Linked DNA regions of Danio rerio. The protein of the gene in region 3 interacts with the protein of the main gene of each other region in a pairwise test. Links are inferred from orthologs where the notes say so. Each region holds a gene or a part of one and is shown on either strand. Other genes may lie near its edges.

Region 1 (5,445 bases), on a different chromosome or scaffold from region 3:
ATTCAAATGATGTCATTAGTAATCCCTTGAAAAAAAAACAATAATTAATTTATACACTTTGCATGAAAAGTATGTTTTAGGGTAAGTCACAATTTTGTAAATTGAATTAACATATCTCTGCAGTTGTCAACAGAATCAGTCTAGGCTTTAGCACGTTCTAGGATTGTTACTGTACTTACAAACTCTTATTTTACACTTGTAAGCCTACTGGGCACAAGACAAAAAATGTTTTTTACAGGAATGGTTACTTTTCGTAGCATTAATTGTAACAATAAACCTTTAATTTAGAGCAGTATTCACTTTAATAATCATTGCGATTGTCACTGTAATTTGTCACAGAAACTTTTCAGTGCACCCTCTATGTGTGTAAGCAAATGTACAGTATACTTAAATGCATTTTATTATCCAATGGTCACTACTGTTACCATCACTGTTTTTACTTATTCTATGACCACCACACTCAATACAAAAACACTTCATTTTAAGATCTTTATTATATATTTATTTATATTTAAGCAAACTTTATTAACCTTTTGATTCTCTGGTGTAAACGGAAGTTAAACTGCTCCAGTCGCATGAAAATGTGCATTAACCATGTGACACTTCACAAATTTGATTGAGATATTTTTTTCGTACGTGCAGGAAATGCTCAAGTCAGTACTATTTTTGAAGCTTTTTAGATTAGAAGGTCTCTTTACAGTCACTGAAACATTATTGTTGTGTTCTGAAGGAATCTGCAATTGAGGCAAAATTCACCGAAGTAAATGCTGTGAACAAGCAGAGACTGCAGAACCTAGAATTTGCCCAAAGCCTTCTTAACCAGGTAAAACATGTTATTGTTCTGTATTATGTATATTCCAAACCATAGAGTAGTCTAAGGATTGCTCATTTACTTTAACGCATGCGATATTTTATAATTCTTTACAGCAACCAGAGGTTACAATAGTCAGGCAAGATGTCCAAACTGTGAGATCGTCTGCCCCAGGAGAAGAGCCCTGGAGAATCAAAAATCAGCTCCAGGAAGAAATTCAGCGCAGAGACCAACTAGAAAGGGAAATTCAAAGTGTCCAAAGTGACATCTATTTCCTGGAGGGCCAGAAACCACAGGATACAATTGTCAAGAAAGAACTTGTCAAGAAGGTGCCGGACCCTCAACTGGATGAGGAGTACCACAGAGTTCAGCAGAAGCTCCTGGATGAAAGCAGGACCACTCGGATCTTAGAGAGTGAACTGGACACCCTCCGTGTGAAGCTGCGTGGGATTGAGACCGAAATGAAAGAAGGAGCTCAACAGTACACAGTTAAAGAGGTGCTCCGCATTGAGAGGGACAGGGGACAGGAGGAAGAACTCAGGAGACTACGAGAAGAGCTGGAGGAGGTCAAGCGGATGAAGATGGTTAGAGAGAATGAAATCATTCAGATTAGAAAGCAAGTGACTATTCTTGCAGAGGAGAAGAGCAGGGAGCAGGAAATCATCAAAGAGGAGGAAGTCATAAAGGTTCAAAATGACCCTCAGCTGGAGAGTGAGTACAGAGTATTGCTTGAAAGAAAGCAAAAAGACATAGAAACCCGTAAGGAGCTTGAAGACGAGCTTCGATTCCTGCAGGAAAGACTAAGACGTCTTGAAAAGGAAAAGGCAATGGCTGAGGAAAAGATCTCCATCAAGGAAGTCCTGAAGGTTGAGAAGGATATTGCTTTGGAGAGAGAGGTAGAGAACCTGAGGAGACAATACGAAGATGAAAAAACAAGACGCAGTGCTGCGCTAAGAGAGAGAACAGACCTCCAGCGCAAGATCACCAGCCTGGAGGAAGAGAAGTCAAAGGTCATTATCCAGGAGAAGGTGCGTGAGATTGTCCGACCTGATCCAAAGGCAGAAACAGAGGTGGCGAATCTTCGACTTGACCTGGTGGAGCAGCAGAGAAGGTGCAGAGATTCAGAGCTTCAGCTGAGGTCCCTTCAGGATGAATTGACAATGCTGAGAAACAGAGGTCCACAGATTGAATACAAAGAGATCATCAAAGAGGTCATCAAATACAAGATTGACCCACAAACAGAAAGAGAGCTGGAGCAACTCAGAAATGAAATTGTGGACAAAACCCACCAAACAGAGAGGTTCGAAATGGAGATACTCCAACTCAAAGACGAGATTCAAAGATGGAAAGACACCAAGCCTCAGATTCAGACCAAAGAGGTTGTGAATGAAATCCTGCAATACAGAGAAGATCCTAAAACCAAGGAGGAGATCGAAAGCCTCAAGCGGAAACTGGCTGAGGAACAGAGGAAACGTTTGGAGCTGGAAAATGAAAGGGCCCTCAGTGAAGAAAAGATCAGGATCAAGAAGATCGACTTGTCACAGGTGAGGGAGAAACTTGTCCAGCAGGAAGTCGTGAAGATGGAGCTGGATCCACTCTTGAAGTCTGAATGTGACACCTTTTCTCTAAATATCAGCAATGAGCAGAAACAGAGAGAGATCTTGAAAGAAGAGCTGATCAGGCTCCAGCGTCAAAAAACTGAACTGGATGTTCAGCTTGAGGAACTGGAGCGTGAACGTAGAGCCCGCAGGGATGCGGAGCTCGAAATTCAGAGGTTGAGAGTGCGGCTTAATGAACTTGAGATCAGGGACAAGGAAAACAGAGAAAAGGTGACAGTAAAGCAAAAGGTTGTCCTTCAGCAGGACCCTCAACAAGAAAAAGAGCACTCTATCCTGCGCCTTCAGGTTGAAGAGGAGAGGCACAAGCGCATGCTCTTGGAGAAAGAGTTCAACGCCTTGTTGCAACAGCAGGAGATACTTGAGAGAACAGAAGTGCGTGAGAAAGTTGTGCGAACTGAAAAAATCCAAGTTGAGCGAGATCCAGATGCTGAGATGGATATTATCAGGCTAAAGAAAAGCCTTGAAGAAGAGGAAAGACGACGTCGTGAGCTGGACCAAGAGATTGTCACCCTAAACACAAAGCTTTCAGAAATGGAATTCACCAATACGAAATCATCAAAAGAACTCGACTACATTCGTGACGAAAGCAACAGGTTACAGCAGGAGAACCAGCGCCTACAAAACGAATTACGGAAGCTTCAATCTGAAATCGAAATCACAACAACAGAAACCAGACACATCACTGAGTCATCTCCGGTTGAGAGTAGCAGGAACTTGGAAATTCGAATGGAATCCTTGCAACGGGAACTTGCCGAGCTTAGACGCATCCGAATGGAGAAGGACGATGAAATCGAAAAGCTTCAGAAGAGTCTGGCTGCAATGCGAGTGAAGAGGGAACAGCGAGAAAGTCACCTCCGCCGTTCAATCGTCGTCATTGATCCAGACACCGGAAAGGAGATGAAGCCCGAGGAGGCTTACAAGCTGGGCCTAATCGAATGGAAAATGTTTGTCAACCTTCAAAGTCAAGAGTGCGATTGGGAGGAGATCACCGTCAAGGGTCCAAGTGGCGAGTCCTCCGTTCTTCACGACAGAAAATCAGGCAAGAAGTTTTCCATTGAAGATGCTCTGAAGGCAGGAAACATCACAAACCGTCAACTGCAACAGTACCAGAACAAAGAAATCAGCATCCAAGAGTTTGGCGTCATGCTGTCAGGCAGAGGCAAATGAATCCATTAATTAGACAAATACAACCAATTTTATATTCTGTTTACTAGTATTAAGATCTAGAGTAAACATGCAGTTTGCAGTCCCAAATTGCATTTTTTTATTCCCTTTCTCAATACAGTATGTATTTATTTTCAAATGCATTCTTATACCAATGCAAGAAGGTGTTTCTTTGGTTATGGTGCTGAATTTGGGTTAATGTTTCTAACGCTATTCCTGAAATGTTTTCATTGGAGTGTAGCAGATGAGACACTATGATCATATTTTACTGAAATCGAGTTCAGTTTTACTGTAATCTGATCTAAAATATGCATACAAGTGTGTGCCTTAATGATAACGTAAGGACCCTATCTGTCTCTTTTCATGCACTTTTTTTTTCAGCTGTGTCAGATTAATCTGTTCTCCTTTCATGTTTGATTTGAGATTAAAAATGAAATATGGATAAACCTGAGTGCTGTGTTCTTTCCCTTCGTCTTTATCATAAAGCAGTAAAAGCTCTTTTTGCAATCATTTTTAGTTCACAAAATCTACTTGAGTCTTTCATCGACTTTTTCACAACATTTACGCTCATCAAAATATTGAAAATATGTTTAATATATTAAAATTACTTTTGGATAGATTGATTGTTTCATCTTTCATAAGTAAATGTAAAATAAGAGCATGAGGCTGAGGGTGTGACCCATAGACCGCATAATAGACCTCACCACTTGACCTGTGAGTGGATTATGATGTCAATTTGTAACTTCAAATTAGTTTTAATCAGATGCTTGTATCCTAGAACTTATCTTCAGAAATATCTATCTGAGCAGGTTCATGTGGTATTTATTATTAATATATTATTATATATATATTAATATATAATATAATTAATATATAATTATATATTAATATATAATATAATTATATATAATATAATTAATATATATTATTATATGTGTGTGTATATATATATATATATATATATATATATATATATATATATATATATATATATATATATATAATATTTTCTATGTATGCGGTGTGCATTGAGGGAATTTATTACGCATAATAATCACCTTCCACACATATAACATCATTTCAAAGTTAAAAAGTTGGTATCAGGTCTGTAGCCAGGGTGCAAGGGTTGGTTCTTTTATTTCTCAAAAAGTGGACTAAAAAGTTATTCACCTTATTTTCTATCTAATTATGAGGTTAATACTGCATTTTAAAGATTAGCACTATTTTTGCTGGATTAGTTTGTCAAACGGACATCGTAACTAGTTTTTGATGTACCCAAAGCATTTCCTAAAGATTTAGAATAAATAAATATGAGAACGATATTTATTTTTAAAATACAAAAAAAAATTAAATCTGTTAATTTTTTTACATTTATTAGGCGAATAACGAACCAGCTGGCATATTCAATTTTACTCTGCTGAGTGTGGCACGGTGTGACTTCAGAATGGCACGCCATGCCAAATTCGGTGTCCCAAATTATGTAACTTACAGCAAACACAGAATTCCACTTAATCTTAAAACCTTTTTTGATTTTTTTAAATTTTTTTTTTTACAATTTACTATGGAATAGCAGTCGAAATAGGGCAAATAAGCCCATGTATGGGACAAAACATCTGGACCTTTTTCAGAGAGGGTGGGTCTTTCGAACCACCCGAACCCACCCCGCGCTGCGGGCCTGTGGATACCACATAAACAATTAAAATATAGTCTTGGTTTTATATATAAAACAACTTTTAATATAAAATAAAAAGAGTTTCATTTCAATATAACGCATTGAGTTTTCGTACTTTTTAAAAATAGTACGCTTCTAAATATTGTTGTCGTAAATTAATTTTTTACTCGGAAATCGCT
Region 2 (6,073 bases), on a different chromosome or scaffold from region 3:
ATCTTTAACTGCAGTTAGGCACTTTCACTTTCATTCAGGAACATTTTATGCATGCCCCCGTTGACAAATTAGATATTGGATGCGGGTTTGAATTGATGGAAGAGTGTAGTTTTAATGCAAATTGTACTGCACGCTGTTTGGGTAAAAAAAAAAAACCTCCATATTTTATGATGCAGGTGTCTGTGGTCCTTTACTGACTCGGTAGGTACAGAAAATAGTGTCAAAAAGCTGCATGTGTTTAGACTATTCTGATGCAAAATGTGGTGAAAATCCGACATGAAGACAGTAGTTTAAGCTGTTTACATGTCTGTAATGCAACTAAAATCGGCATCTCCACATGTCTTTATTCTATTTCTGTTTAGTTCAATTATGACCTTAATTCTTAATCAAAGTATTGTCTTAATTGTATGAAAATTTGATTATTGGTGTCCAAAGCAGACCTTTAAAAACGTTATAGATTTTTATCTCGTGTATTATTAATATTTATTATTATTATTTTATTTTATGTATTGTTTATTGCTGTTGATGACTTTTAATTGTTAAAATGTTTTTATAATTATAGAAAAGTGATATTTATAAAATTTGTTAAATGTAAATGTGATCTTTTTTTCCCCTATAACATAGCTAGAAGCTGATGTGGCAATAGATTCAAAACTCTCTCGCTTTCTAAACTTTTATAATTTTTTTTCCTCTGTTGAACACAAAATAAGATTTTCTGAACAATGTTGGGGGGTAAAGCAGTCATTGACATCCATAATAGGAACAAAAAATGAAATCAGTGGCTGTTTTTCCAACATTTTTTAAAAATCTAAAACACTAAAGCAGATAACTCATTGGCATAATTGTGAATATTTCTTAAATTAATTAATTAATTGTCAGTTTATTTCTCTAAATAAAAATCCCCCCTTTAAATAGAGGCCTGATTTTTTTTTTTTTTTTATGAAAGCTCCATTTATCACTCATTCTTTCATTTGTATGCCTGCATGTGTTTCAGGTCTGGATTATGTGAGTCACGAAGACATCCTGCCTTACAACTCCACTGAACAAGTTCCTATCCAGCATGAGCTGTTTGAACGTTTCCTAATGTTTAACCCCTCCAGAAGTAACTAGTCATCATCTTCTCATTAGTATTAATATCAGTCCTGAGTCTGATAATAAATTTCATTGCATTTATTTTGTTTCTTTAGATCCTCCGTTTACTGCGAGAGATACCTTACGGGCCTGGCAGGAGAAGAACCATCCCTGGCTGGAGCTGTCAGATGTGCACCGGGAAACCACAGAGAACATCCGTGTCACCGTCATCCCCTTCTACATGGGCATGAGAGTAAGAATAGAGTTTTAAGTGGATTGCAGATTAAATGTTCACAACCTTAAAAAAAGTTTGTGGCCTGTAAGATTATTTATAAAAGAGGTCCCTTATGCTCACCAAGGCTGCATTGTGTACAAAAGCACAGTAGAAATTGTAATATTGTGAGGTTTTACAGATGAATGTAACTGTATTATTTATTTGTATATAATACAGTTGTTGAAATGTATTTTAAATTCTGTTTATTTAAAAAAATTCAATGCATTCGTGTGATGGCAGTGCTGAGTTTTCAGTAACTGTTACTCCAGTCTTCAGTGTCACATGATCATTCAGAAATCCTTTTAAAAAGCCTCTATTATAATATGCATGCAAGGCCAAAAACTCTTTTATTGTTTTATAATATGCATTTATTTTTACCCAATTATCCCAACAACTCCCATATGAATCGTTCAGCTACTCATTTGTTCCCAAACCCCTCCTTAGCACAAAGCTAATCTGTGCTGATTGTACCGATGACACAGTCTGTTGTGACTAGTCGACTGCACTCAGCGTGGCAATAGCAATGACAAACAGCAGAGGATTGCGAGTTCAGAAACGCATTTAAATCGGTAAAGGAAGAAGCATGCGTCGTGTTTTCAATGTGATTTTGGACGCAATATGTGAATAGCCTCATGGAGGTTTAACCAGAGAGATAGAGTACAAGCAGTGATCTATAATAAATAAGTTGCACGGATCTGTGCTTGAGCTGCGTATATTTGAGGGAGTGTGCAAGAGGTTTTGTGCACAAGCAGAGGAAATTGGCACGCAAGCTGAAAGATTTGCATGCTCGTATTGCATAAATGCGATCTCGACTTGTAATTCTGCGCTCACGACATTTCTCCATTTGTCATTAAAATAACGCCATAGGTAGTTGGTTGATTTGTGTAAAAGGTCTGCCGCCACAGCTGGAAAAAATCCTAAAGGGAAACACTGTAAGGGCGAACTCACACTATGCTATTCAAACCGTGCTCAGGCCCGTCCAGCGTATCATTTGAGAAGTGTGAGTGCTCTGAATCAGGCTCAGGCATGGTTCAGTTGGCTGGTCCTGGCCCGGTTGGAAATGTTGTGCCAGAGCACAGTTCACGTGGGCTCAGGCGTGGTACACTTGTAGTGTAAGTGCAAAGACATGACCGAGACATGACTTTTAAGGGACCGTTTCATATGGATTTATTAATCATTCTTACTGTTCAATGAACCTGAACTGTTGTAGATTATTAAAGACACAAACCCCCCACTGCATGACAGTTGCACCTTCAGCAAACCTCATAATTCTTGCTGCACAAGGACTTTATGATTGTTTCTGAGCGTCAAAGGTGGCTGATCTGTTGGGCGAAATTTTTGACTGCGTGTCACCACATCCCAAACCACTAAAACGATATAACTTAAGAAATCTCCACTGTGCTGAACGCCATCATCAATGACATAAGCGTGCTCAGGCCTGAATGCAATGTAAGTGCGGTCCGCCGGGGAAGACGAGAGGGGGACAAGCGTGCTTCGGCGCGGTTCAAGGCAACTGTACATAGTGTGAGTGCGCCCTTACATGTTATGATCCGGAGGAAGAAGAAATTGGTCCATGTGAACTGTGTCAGACTTTGACAGGGACTGTCAGTAACTGTTAAAGCCCCATACATAATAGTCTCTGCTGCTCCTTCCTTTAATAGCAAACTGCCGGCGAATCCCACGTTGCAGCGTAGGTTATTGTATCAAAAATCTGAAAAATGACAGGAACAAACACTGCGCTAATTTTGGCTATACTGTGGTGTTGTGAAAATGAACTTTAACCCTTTATTCTCCGCAGCCGAATCTCCATCTGTTAGTAATCGTTACCTTCGCTCATAATCAGTCCCGTAATCTCCGCTCTCTGCTAGTGTCTGAAGTGAAAGTTGTGTTCATATTACACTGGATCCAGTACTACATATTTGGTGATTTACCGCATCAACGTCAACGCATTCATAGCAAAAGATCCGAACCCAGCTCAATTCATTCATTCAACTCTTGAGTCGAATATTCTGTTAAAGAAAGTCAACTATTTTGTTGAAGAATCAATAGTTTTAAACATAGTGGACTTTCAGTTTTAAACTGATCATCTGCTGGATGTTTTCATTCTCTTAGTGCTGTGTTACACTGCATGGAAGTTCATTATCAAAAACCATTAATAGGAACTCTTTAATGTTATCAATTATACTGTTTACTTTATGTATTTTAAAAAAATGTGATGAATAGAAAATTTAATACAAAATATATTATTTGAAATAGAAATATTTTGTTTTAATTTAAATATGTACTATAGTTTTTGATCAATTAAATGCATCATCGAATACATACATTCTGTATATTTATTTACTGTACTTTAATTTTAAAATGAACATGGTCTTGATTTATGTTTGTTTTTGTATGTCTACAGGAAGCTCAGAACTCCCATGTGTATTGGGTAAGCAAAATTACCTGATTATGGCATTTGTAATGACTAAATAAAAGGGCTATTTATAGGCTGGCCATCGGTGACCTGTTGAAGATGATATGTTGATGTTTTCTGCAGTGGCGTTATTGCATCCGTCTGGAGAACCTGGGCAATGAGGTGGTTCAGCTCAGGGAAAGACATTGGAGGATCTTCAGTCTTTCTGGGACTCTGGAAACAGTCCGTGGAAGAGGAGTGGTTGGCAAGGTGAAATATTAATTAGCAAAAGCATAATCTAGAATTCAAGACTATGGAAATAAGATTTGTTTGCTAAATGTTAATTCATCATTATCTCACCAGGAGCCTGTTTTGTCAAGAGAACAGCCGGCGTTTCAGTACAGCAGTCATGTTTCACTTCAAGCACCCAGTGGACACATGTGGTGAGATTATCAACATGTTGACATATATGCGTTATTCTAGCTTAATATTTAATAGAAGCATTAATAGAAGAAATTAGCTTAATTTTGAATAATGTGGGGTTTAGACTACACAATATTCTGTTTTTGGCACAATGCCTTTGATGTAGGGTGTTGCTATGATATGTAAATCACAATACGATGCAAAAAAAAAAAGAACATTCCTTTGTTAATTCTGACCTTTTAGATGAAAACACATCTTATTTAAAGAGAGTCTTCACAGTAAAATGAAAATTTCCAGTTAATTTACACACCCTCAGTAGAATATCTTGGGTAGACTATTAGGAAGATTATAACCAGGAACATTGTCCTTTGTCCAACTTCTAGAATCCACATAATGGAAATCAGTGGGCACCATCACTTTGAGATTTAAACAAAAAACATTTTTAAAACAAGCTATCCCTTTAAAAACTGCAGTCATTAGCCCCTTTCACACATACAGACGGAAAGGTTGTATGTGTGAACAGGTCCTTTTTGAAAATACCGGTAAATTCGTTCTGGCTATTTTCCGGAAAGAGAAGTTGTAACATTACCGGCAATTTGCCGGAATGCTGCGCTGTGTGAATGCAGAAGGAAGATTGCCGTAATAAGCGCGTGCACGTCTAGAACGTGCTGACGTGAGACGTCTGCTTTAGCCAATCACAACAGTCAGACGCATTTACGTCCACGTGGTTTATGAGAATAAAAGCCTTTGAATATTTTTCCAGACACATTTAGCTGCTAGAAGTTAGTCCGATCACGTTTATATGTTCTTCTTAATGCCAACTGTGTAAATAATCATCGATGAGATGCTTATGATAAGCCGTTGTTTGTTTACCTTCCAAGCTTTGCGTGTGCCTGTGAAACAGCCTGTGAGCGCCTGCACACGCACATATTATGAACATCTCGACATGCGAAAGTGATCCTGCGAAAGTTGTTCACAATATTGATCATCCACAGAGTTTGTAATTTAGTCAAATGTTTACAAATACAAGCGCAGCCGTTTAAAGCTCATTTGTGTTGAATGATGTCAGAATTTACCGGTATTTTGGAATGTATGTGTGAATGCTATTTTCCGGAAAATTTCCGTAACGTCCTCGCCTGTGTGAACAGCGCTTTTTTGAATATACCGGTAAAGTCGTTCCGGAAATTTTCCAGATATTTACCAGTATCACTGTGTGAAAGGGGCTATTGTCTTGTTAGGAAACAACAAGCTCTTACATGTTACAAACAACAAGAATTTAGCATTCAAACTCACCTTAATTTGACAGGCCTATTGTTAGTGGGTTGTAAGGTAAAAAAAAAAAAAAAGATCTAAAAAGCAAGTTTTTGTGTAGTTTAGTAGCTATCAGAGCAGAGAAAGAAAGCTGCTGCTCTCCAGGGTTCTCACTTATAAATGTGGCATGTACACAAAATCAGGGTAAAATGTGCATGGACAATAAAACAAACTTAATGGGAGAATCTGCACAGCTGTTAGTTAACTCCAAGTAAACATATTTAACTTTAATAGTGACTTTATTGAACCACTAAAAATCATAATCATTAATAAAACTAGTTTTTTAAAATATGTCTTTCAATTGATGTTTTTATTTGGTGAGTTACAGGTTTGTGAATGCTTTAATTTATTACAAATCATAAATGTGCTGTTAACTATTGTATGCAATGCAAAATACAGGGATGTGATTTCAGTCACCAGAACAAATGTTTCATTATCAAGCTTTTCATTTGATGAAAAATAAGTGATCCCTTGCATAAAAGGATTGTCTCCATGAATAACATCATTGCATTGTTTGTTACGGGTTACGGGTTGTTTGAACAGGGTTATCACTGGTCATGGGATTTCTGGAATATCATTTCTATTCCAGAAATTAAGAG
Region 3 (6,575 bases):
CTATTTCTGTGCATGTTTTCAGGATTATAAGCTGCATTATTTCATACTTTTGACTATATTTGTAAACTAGACATAAGATTCTAATGTAGTGTGTGCAGTTTGGTGGTCCCTGATATCAATTTAGCCTCTCAAAACATCTGAAAACAAGGAATTTTAGCCTTTTAAATGACACAATTTCTTTACGTTTAGAATATAATATTATGGTTTAAAATGCAACTGTAAACAGTCCCATAGGTTGAAGAGTAAATGGATTGTGCTCTCTTACTCTAGCTAAAAACATGTATTCAGAAGACTTAGACCTTTCCAACGATATATAGCCTGTCATGATTAGATTAGGAGTTCATTGCAGTATAGTGCAGTACACTGAAGCATCCTGCTATCGGGCAGTGACAGTTCAGGGGTTAAAGCAGCTCCTCAAACCTTTCTGCACGGTGCGAACTTCAGAAACATCCTCCTGGAGAGCCATGCTGGCCTGCCGGACCACACCGCTGTTCTTCTGGCTCATCTCTGCTGCCAGAAACGGGCATTTAGAGGCGGAGGCATGCCCGGCTGCAGGAGCAGGGTGACCAGCGGGCACTGCAGGAGCATCACTGGCTTCTGAATAAAAAATAAATAAATAAAAAAAAAAAAGAGGAGATTCATCAGCATAAATGAGTTTACCCTATTTTGAAATGGAATATTTTATACATCTCTTAAAGAATATCGACAATATATATTCATAGATTTGAACAAAACTTAACATATTGATTAAAGTCATATTTTAGTCATTGAACATCTTTAAAAATATCAAGATAATGCATTTAAATGTGCGCTAAATTTAGCCAAAATGTAATGTAATGTATTTTTTATTTAGTGCCATGTCAGCAACCAAGGCTATCTTCATGGCAGGAATCTTTCAACAATAAATATACAATTTAAAAATCAACAAACAAAATAAAACATAAATTAAATAAGATTTTTTGTGTTAATACATGATAAAAATTCTAAAATCTTTTCGGGTGTTACTTTGTCAAAAATGTCCTTAAAAGAGTTAATTTCATAAAAAGTCCTTCTGGAATCAGTAAAAGCAGGACAGTCCAGTAAAATATGCTTTACAGTAAGATGAGTTTTGCAATACAAACACTGAGTAGGGTTTTCACCTTGGAGCAAAAAACCATGTGTTATTCTCGTATGCCCAATACGACATCTGGTAAAAACTACTTGATCAAATCGATTCTTAAAATGTCTTAAAATTCTGTGTGAAACTTCAGGTTGGATTTCATGTAAAATTTAGCCAAAAAAAGAACATATCAATTTGGGATACTAATTTTTAGGCTGTTTTTTTGGCTCCAGATTTGGCTTCAGCACAGACTAATTCAATGTATCTGCATAAATATTTTACTGTAAAGCATTCTGTAGACAAGATCAGTTTAAATGCGAGATTTGTGAGGGGTGAACGCATGTATGACACAGTCACAGGTCTTTAAAACACATCCAAATAAAACTCTTTCACTGTTAAACTCCCCAAATCACATGCTCTGAACGGTGCTTTCTGAATAATTATAATCCCAACATTGGAGATTCTGTGACGTGGCTATTGCAGACTCGTACATCACGATATCGATGCTGAAACCATATATTGCGCAGCCTTATCATGCAGTTTTATATTTAAATAATGACGTTTCTACAATTTTTCCCTTATAACAGCACGTGACTGACCATGTCCGGCCGCAGAGGAGTCTTCCACCTTCTGGAAGCTGGCGCTAGAGGAGCAGAGCGGGCGCAGCAGGGGTCTGGAGGCCAGATCCATCATCACAGGACACTTCACCGCATACGCCACCAGAGACTTCCTGGCTTGCTGGAGGAACGTCTGCGGGACGCGGGACAGGAATGGGCAGCGAATGATGGCGTCCATAGCTGACGGTTCAGTGAGGTCTGGAAAACACAGAACAGAGAGCAGGTTAATTACAACTGACTGATTACACAGTGCACTGTCATGGTGATTAACAGCCGGCCGGTGTGAAGGGTTACTGTCACTTTCACATGACTGGAACTGAGCCACAACCTCAGTACTGAGAGTTCAAAAACACACACACACACACACACACACACACACACACACACACACACACACACACACACACACACACACACACACACACACACACACACACACACACACACACACACACACACACACACACAAACAAACAAACAAACAAACAAACACACACAAACACACACAAACAAACAAACACACACAAACAAACAAACACACACAAACAAACACACACACACACACACGTTCGTATATCTCGGTACAGCTGTAGTGATGTTTGTTCTGTACAGTGTGTGTGTATTCTCTCGTCTCCCTCTAAACTCAACGCTCACAGCACACACTCTGCACTTCTACATCTCTAAACACTTCATTCTGTCTGATTTATGAGCATATTTACTTAATTTGGGGCCCTACGGTGACAATTCCCTCAGAGTCTGTGTGCATTCTAGGCATGAGATGATAACCGGTTACAAGGTTTACTGCGGTCTGGAAAAGTCTCGGTATTAAAACCGCACAAATGTTTTTTATACCGTTTCTAAGGTATATGTAGAGTTTTTTTATGTGTTGTAAGGAAATCTGTTTTGAAGATTTTTGAAGATAAAAAAGATTGTAGAAGTCAATGGTTTATTTTAATTATGTAGCCTGACATGTTTACGGTTCCAAAATAATATAAATGTTTCCTAAAATGTAATATATTGTGTTAATTGGGGAAAAAAGTTGTTGTTTTTGACTAAGACAAAATAAAAATAAATGATTATACAGCAGTAAATCACATTACCATTGAGGGAATATAAATTTATATTCCATAGTAATGCAAAGTGTCAGTCTCACAGCACGGCTGTGTCACTTGTTTTCTCTTTTCGGTCAACTGGTCAGGCGGTTTCTGTCTCCAGAACATGATGAGATCAGACCTGAAAAGGCAGTTTACCCTGCCGACAACAACACTTCATTTGCATGCTCGGTTTAGCCATCTCCCCTCATCCTAAGAACACATTATAGACAAAACAGCTTTATCTCAAATCAGACTTGTGATAGAACTTCCAGATTGCAGACCTCCAGTAGGCTCCTGCAGACACTGGGACTTCTTGAAGACGCTGTATGAATGCAGATTAACCAACACGTCTAATGTTGTTATGAAGTCATATTTACATGCCATTTCACACCCAATATGTAAATATGTAAAGCAGTGTAATAAACAACACGTTAAACTAATGTGCGAATATAAAACATACTTTACCGCCTCAACATTAGACACACACACACACACACACACAGTACACTAATACTCCTTAAAGCTGTGTGTGAGCACTCAAACTCAAATCACAGTAAGCCCATTCCACACAGATTTACAGCTGCTCTCAGCTCAGCCCTCATCATCATCATCATCATCATCATCGATACTCATTGAGGTCAAGTTGGTTTTATATTCTCACATGTATTCAGTGGTTCCCTCCCTATATTGTTTACCATGGTACTTTGAATGTTAGGTCAAAATTGGATGTAAGGATCAGACTGTAAACAATGCTGTACTCTGATAGCCATTGGCTGATTATATGATTTCACCATTTAGAATGAGCAAAGAACACTTTTCTGATATTAAATTATTAAAGAGAATGTCCAAATGTGTGAATTTAAAACCAACTTTCCCTCAATCCCATACTCATACGAGTTAAAACAGCAGAAACTGTTTTTATATTCGCACATTCAGACTTTCTCCTTCACAATCTCATTTCAGAAAAGTATTATCAAATTCTAAATAGGGGAATCATATCAGCAGTCAATGACCATCAAAGTGCATTCCAGCATTATTCACGGTCAATTAAACAGTGCTAATGTTGTTTTAGAATTCATATTTAAATGCTCTTTCAGACTCGATATTCAAAATAGAGTGGTAAACAATATAGAGAGCATTAAATGACCCAATGTGTGAAAATAAAACCAACTTGACCTCATTAATTCCTGATGAAGTCAGAGAACAGCGCCGACAGTGACTCACCGATACTGTCAGCTCACCTGCCGGGAAACAGCTGACTTACACACGGAAACTAAACCTCACGTTACACTAACAGTTCACTACTCTGCTACATTACAAATCAATATAGTACAGTACAGTACAGTAATTTAACCTACCGGCTAATGTTAAGAGTTATGATTTCTGCGTCACGTGACGTAACGTTAGCAAACCTGACAGGAACCTGAGGCGTTTTAGCTAAATTTGCTAAATGTACATTAAAAACGACCATCGTATCCTCTACTGAACTCTCTCTACCTTTAATAAGATATAAAACATAAATAAATGCAGATGTACAGTTAATCTGTGGAGTCTTCAGAGGTCAACAGTTAGAAAGCCGCATGATTAAACGCGCCGCGACCTCTAATGAACGCGCCTCACCTCAGTTTCCTCCGAGATCGCGGGTGTGTTCTGTTGGTATCGCTGTCCGGTGGTCGGTTGTTAGTGTTATGCCGTCTCTGGCCTGTTTTCTCAGCCGTAATGAGCGATGTGCGTCGTTATCCTGCACTGAGGACGAACGAGAGGGCGAGCGGCGCTCCGGGATTATATCGCACCAGCGGCCGCAGATCTCGCGATCTTTACGTCAGCAGCCGCGAGGACACGCCTCTCCTTCCGCGCAAACTATGGCGACACCGGTTGTTGCTAGAAGAGATACAGCTGCGGCGAGAAATGAAGTTAACGAGAATTGTATTTTATAAACGTCTACCTTAACCCTCACATTAATGTAAAAACAGTAATTACACCGAGACGAATCATATTGTTTTTTAAACTACCCATTAAATAGTATTTTATTAACGCCTAACCCAACCCTCACGTAAACAGTAGTATACTGAGTTCGTATTGTTTATTAAATGACCCATTAATTGTATTTACAAACTTCTACACCTACCCCAGCCCTCACAGTAATGTAAAATATGAATTATTGTTGTACAGGGTGGGTCATAAAAAGTATGAGTAACCGCAGCTGTATCCCTTCTAGACTGCACCGCCTCAAACCCTGAGCACACGAGGCGGATAATTCCCAGATTGATCAACACGTGTGTTGTGATCAGTATGATACATGTGTCCTCGTGTTTGTTTATGTCATTAATATGAGGAAACTACACCAGAAAGTCAAAGGAAGTGTATAGACGCGCCCTGCTACAGGAATAGCCCAGACATAACTCAGAGTAAAAACAACAGGACTGTTTCCTTAAAGTTTTCAGGGTCAGTTCACACACAAATGTAAATCCCACCATCATTTTCTCATCCTCCACCTCATCAAACCTGTTTATGTCTTCTGTTCAACACAAAGGAAGATATTCTGAAGAATGCTGGAAGATATGTCTGTTCTATTGGAGTCAGCTTTTCCAGCATTATTATATTTGTGTTCAACAGAAGAAAGAAATCATTAAAGTTTACAGCCACTAATAAAGAAACAGCGAAGAACTATTGAGGAAATGTTCGTTTTCAGTTGGTGAACTACTCTGTCCCATTATAAATGAAGCTATAAACTAGATGAACACACTTCTCTTACATGCACTTTGTTGATTTAGAGATTTTTTATAAGTTATAAATATGTAAAATATGTAAATATATAAGCAGGTTTAATAGTTATAATATGTTTAAAAGTGAGATAAAACTGAGGCACATGAAATTCACTTTTAAGTTTTTGTTTTGAATTTGTGTCTGTAAATAAAACCATAATAAACTATTATTGCACAAGTTATACACTATATGCTCATTACACATATATAATTATACACATTTTGCACTGAGCCATAGACATTATTTGCCTGATTAAAAGCTATATTATAGTTCTGTTCCACAATAAATGTTTTAATAAATATTTTTTGTTGGTTTATTTGCAAATTTTCCATCTCTTTGCAGTATTTTCTAAATTATAAAGAGTGATGCAAAAGAGACATATGGAAAATCAGCTGTAAAATAATCAAACAGGAATTTTTGACTTCCTTCATTGTTCAGATGTTTGCACATTTTGACTTATTTGCAGATGTAAACAACATTTTAGAAATGAGTTGTAATGCAAAAACCACTATGGTAATAGTTCATTTATTAGCAGTAGTAGCAGTAATAATAACAATTATTATTATTTATTTTTTACCTACAGTGTATTGTCTAAAGCAGTGGTTCTCAAACTGTGGTACATGTACACTACTGGTACAGGGGCTTATATCTAGTGGTACGTGGAGGAATCACTGAGTAATGAATGGAAAATTGAATCCTATTTTAATCATTTGATGTGTACGATAATGTTCACATATCGTGTCATTTCTACATGCAAGTTTGTTATTTATAATGAAGACGCAAGCAGCATGATGCACTTTCGTATTCCAGGTGTGCCCAGTTAAAACATCTTTTCAGAATGCCGCACCGCGAGTCACGTAACAAGAACTGACCGATCAGCTTCATATTTTGTATGGAATATACATTATATATTATATATATAACATATAATATTGTCAGCTTGAGATCCTCTGAGAAAAACCGGTTCCCCTGTCTACATACAAGTTAATATTTAGATTT

The links.
Region 1: the proteins of alas1 (region 3) and ppl interact in binary tests that used the Homo sapiens proteins (3 or more experiments, as listed by UniProt). The two-hybrid records come from large-scale screens. The link is inferred for Danio rerio from reciprocal best matches to the Homo sapiens genes ALAS1 and PPL.
Region 2: the proteins of alas1 (region 3) and poldip2 interact in binary tests that used the Homo sapiens proteins (3 or more experiments, as listed by UniProt). The two-hybrid records come from large-scale screens. The link is inferred for Danio rerio from reciprocal best matches to the Homo sapiens genes ALAS1 and POLDIP2.

Annotation. Positions count from the first base shown.
Region 1 is NC_133178.1:35,308,945-35,314,389, reverse strand, and holds the end of ppl (periplakin), read left to right. Parts: intron 1-730; coding exon 731-823; intron 824-927; coding exon 928-3,597; 3' UTR 3,598-4,042; downstream 4,043-5,445. UniProt on the Homo sapiens protein: Component of the cornified envelope of keratinocytes. May link the cornified envelope to desmosomes and intermediate filaments. May act as a localization signal in PKB/AKT-mediated signaling.
Region 2 is NC_133190.1:27,160,211-27,166,283, forward strand, and holds part of poldip2 (polymerase delta-interacting protein 2), read left to right. Parts: intron 1-994; coding exon 995-1,102; intron 1,103-1,187; coding exon 1,188-1,324; intron 1,325-3,749; coding exon 3,750-3,776; intron 3,777-3,884; coding exon 3,885-4,010; intron 4,011-4,103; coding exon 4,104-4,183; intron 4,184-6,073. UniProt on the Homo sapiens protein: Involved in DNA damage tolerance by regulating translesion synthesis (TLS) of templates carrying DNA damage lesions such as 8oxoG and abasic sites.
Region 3 is NC_133186.1:318,479-325,053, forward strand, and holds the start of alas1 (5-aminolevulinate synthase, non-specific, mitochondrial), read right to left. Parts: upstream 4,569-6,575; 5' UTR 4,431-4,568; intron 1,915-4,430; 5' UTR 1,895-1,914; coding exon of another isoform or gene 1,699-1,894; intron 598-1,698; coding exon of another isoform or gene 421-597; intron 1-420.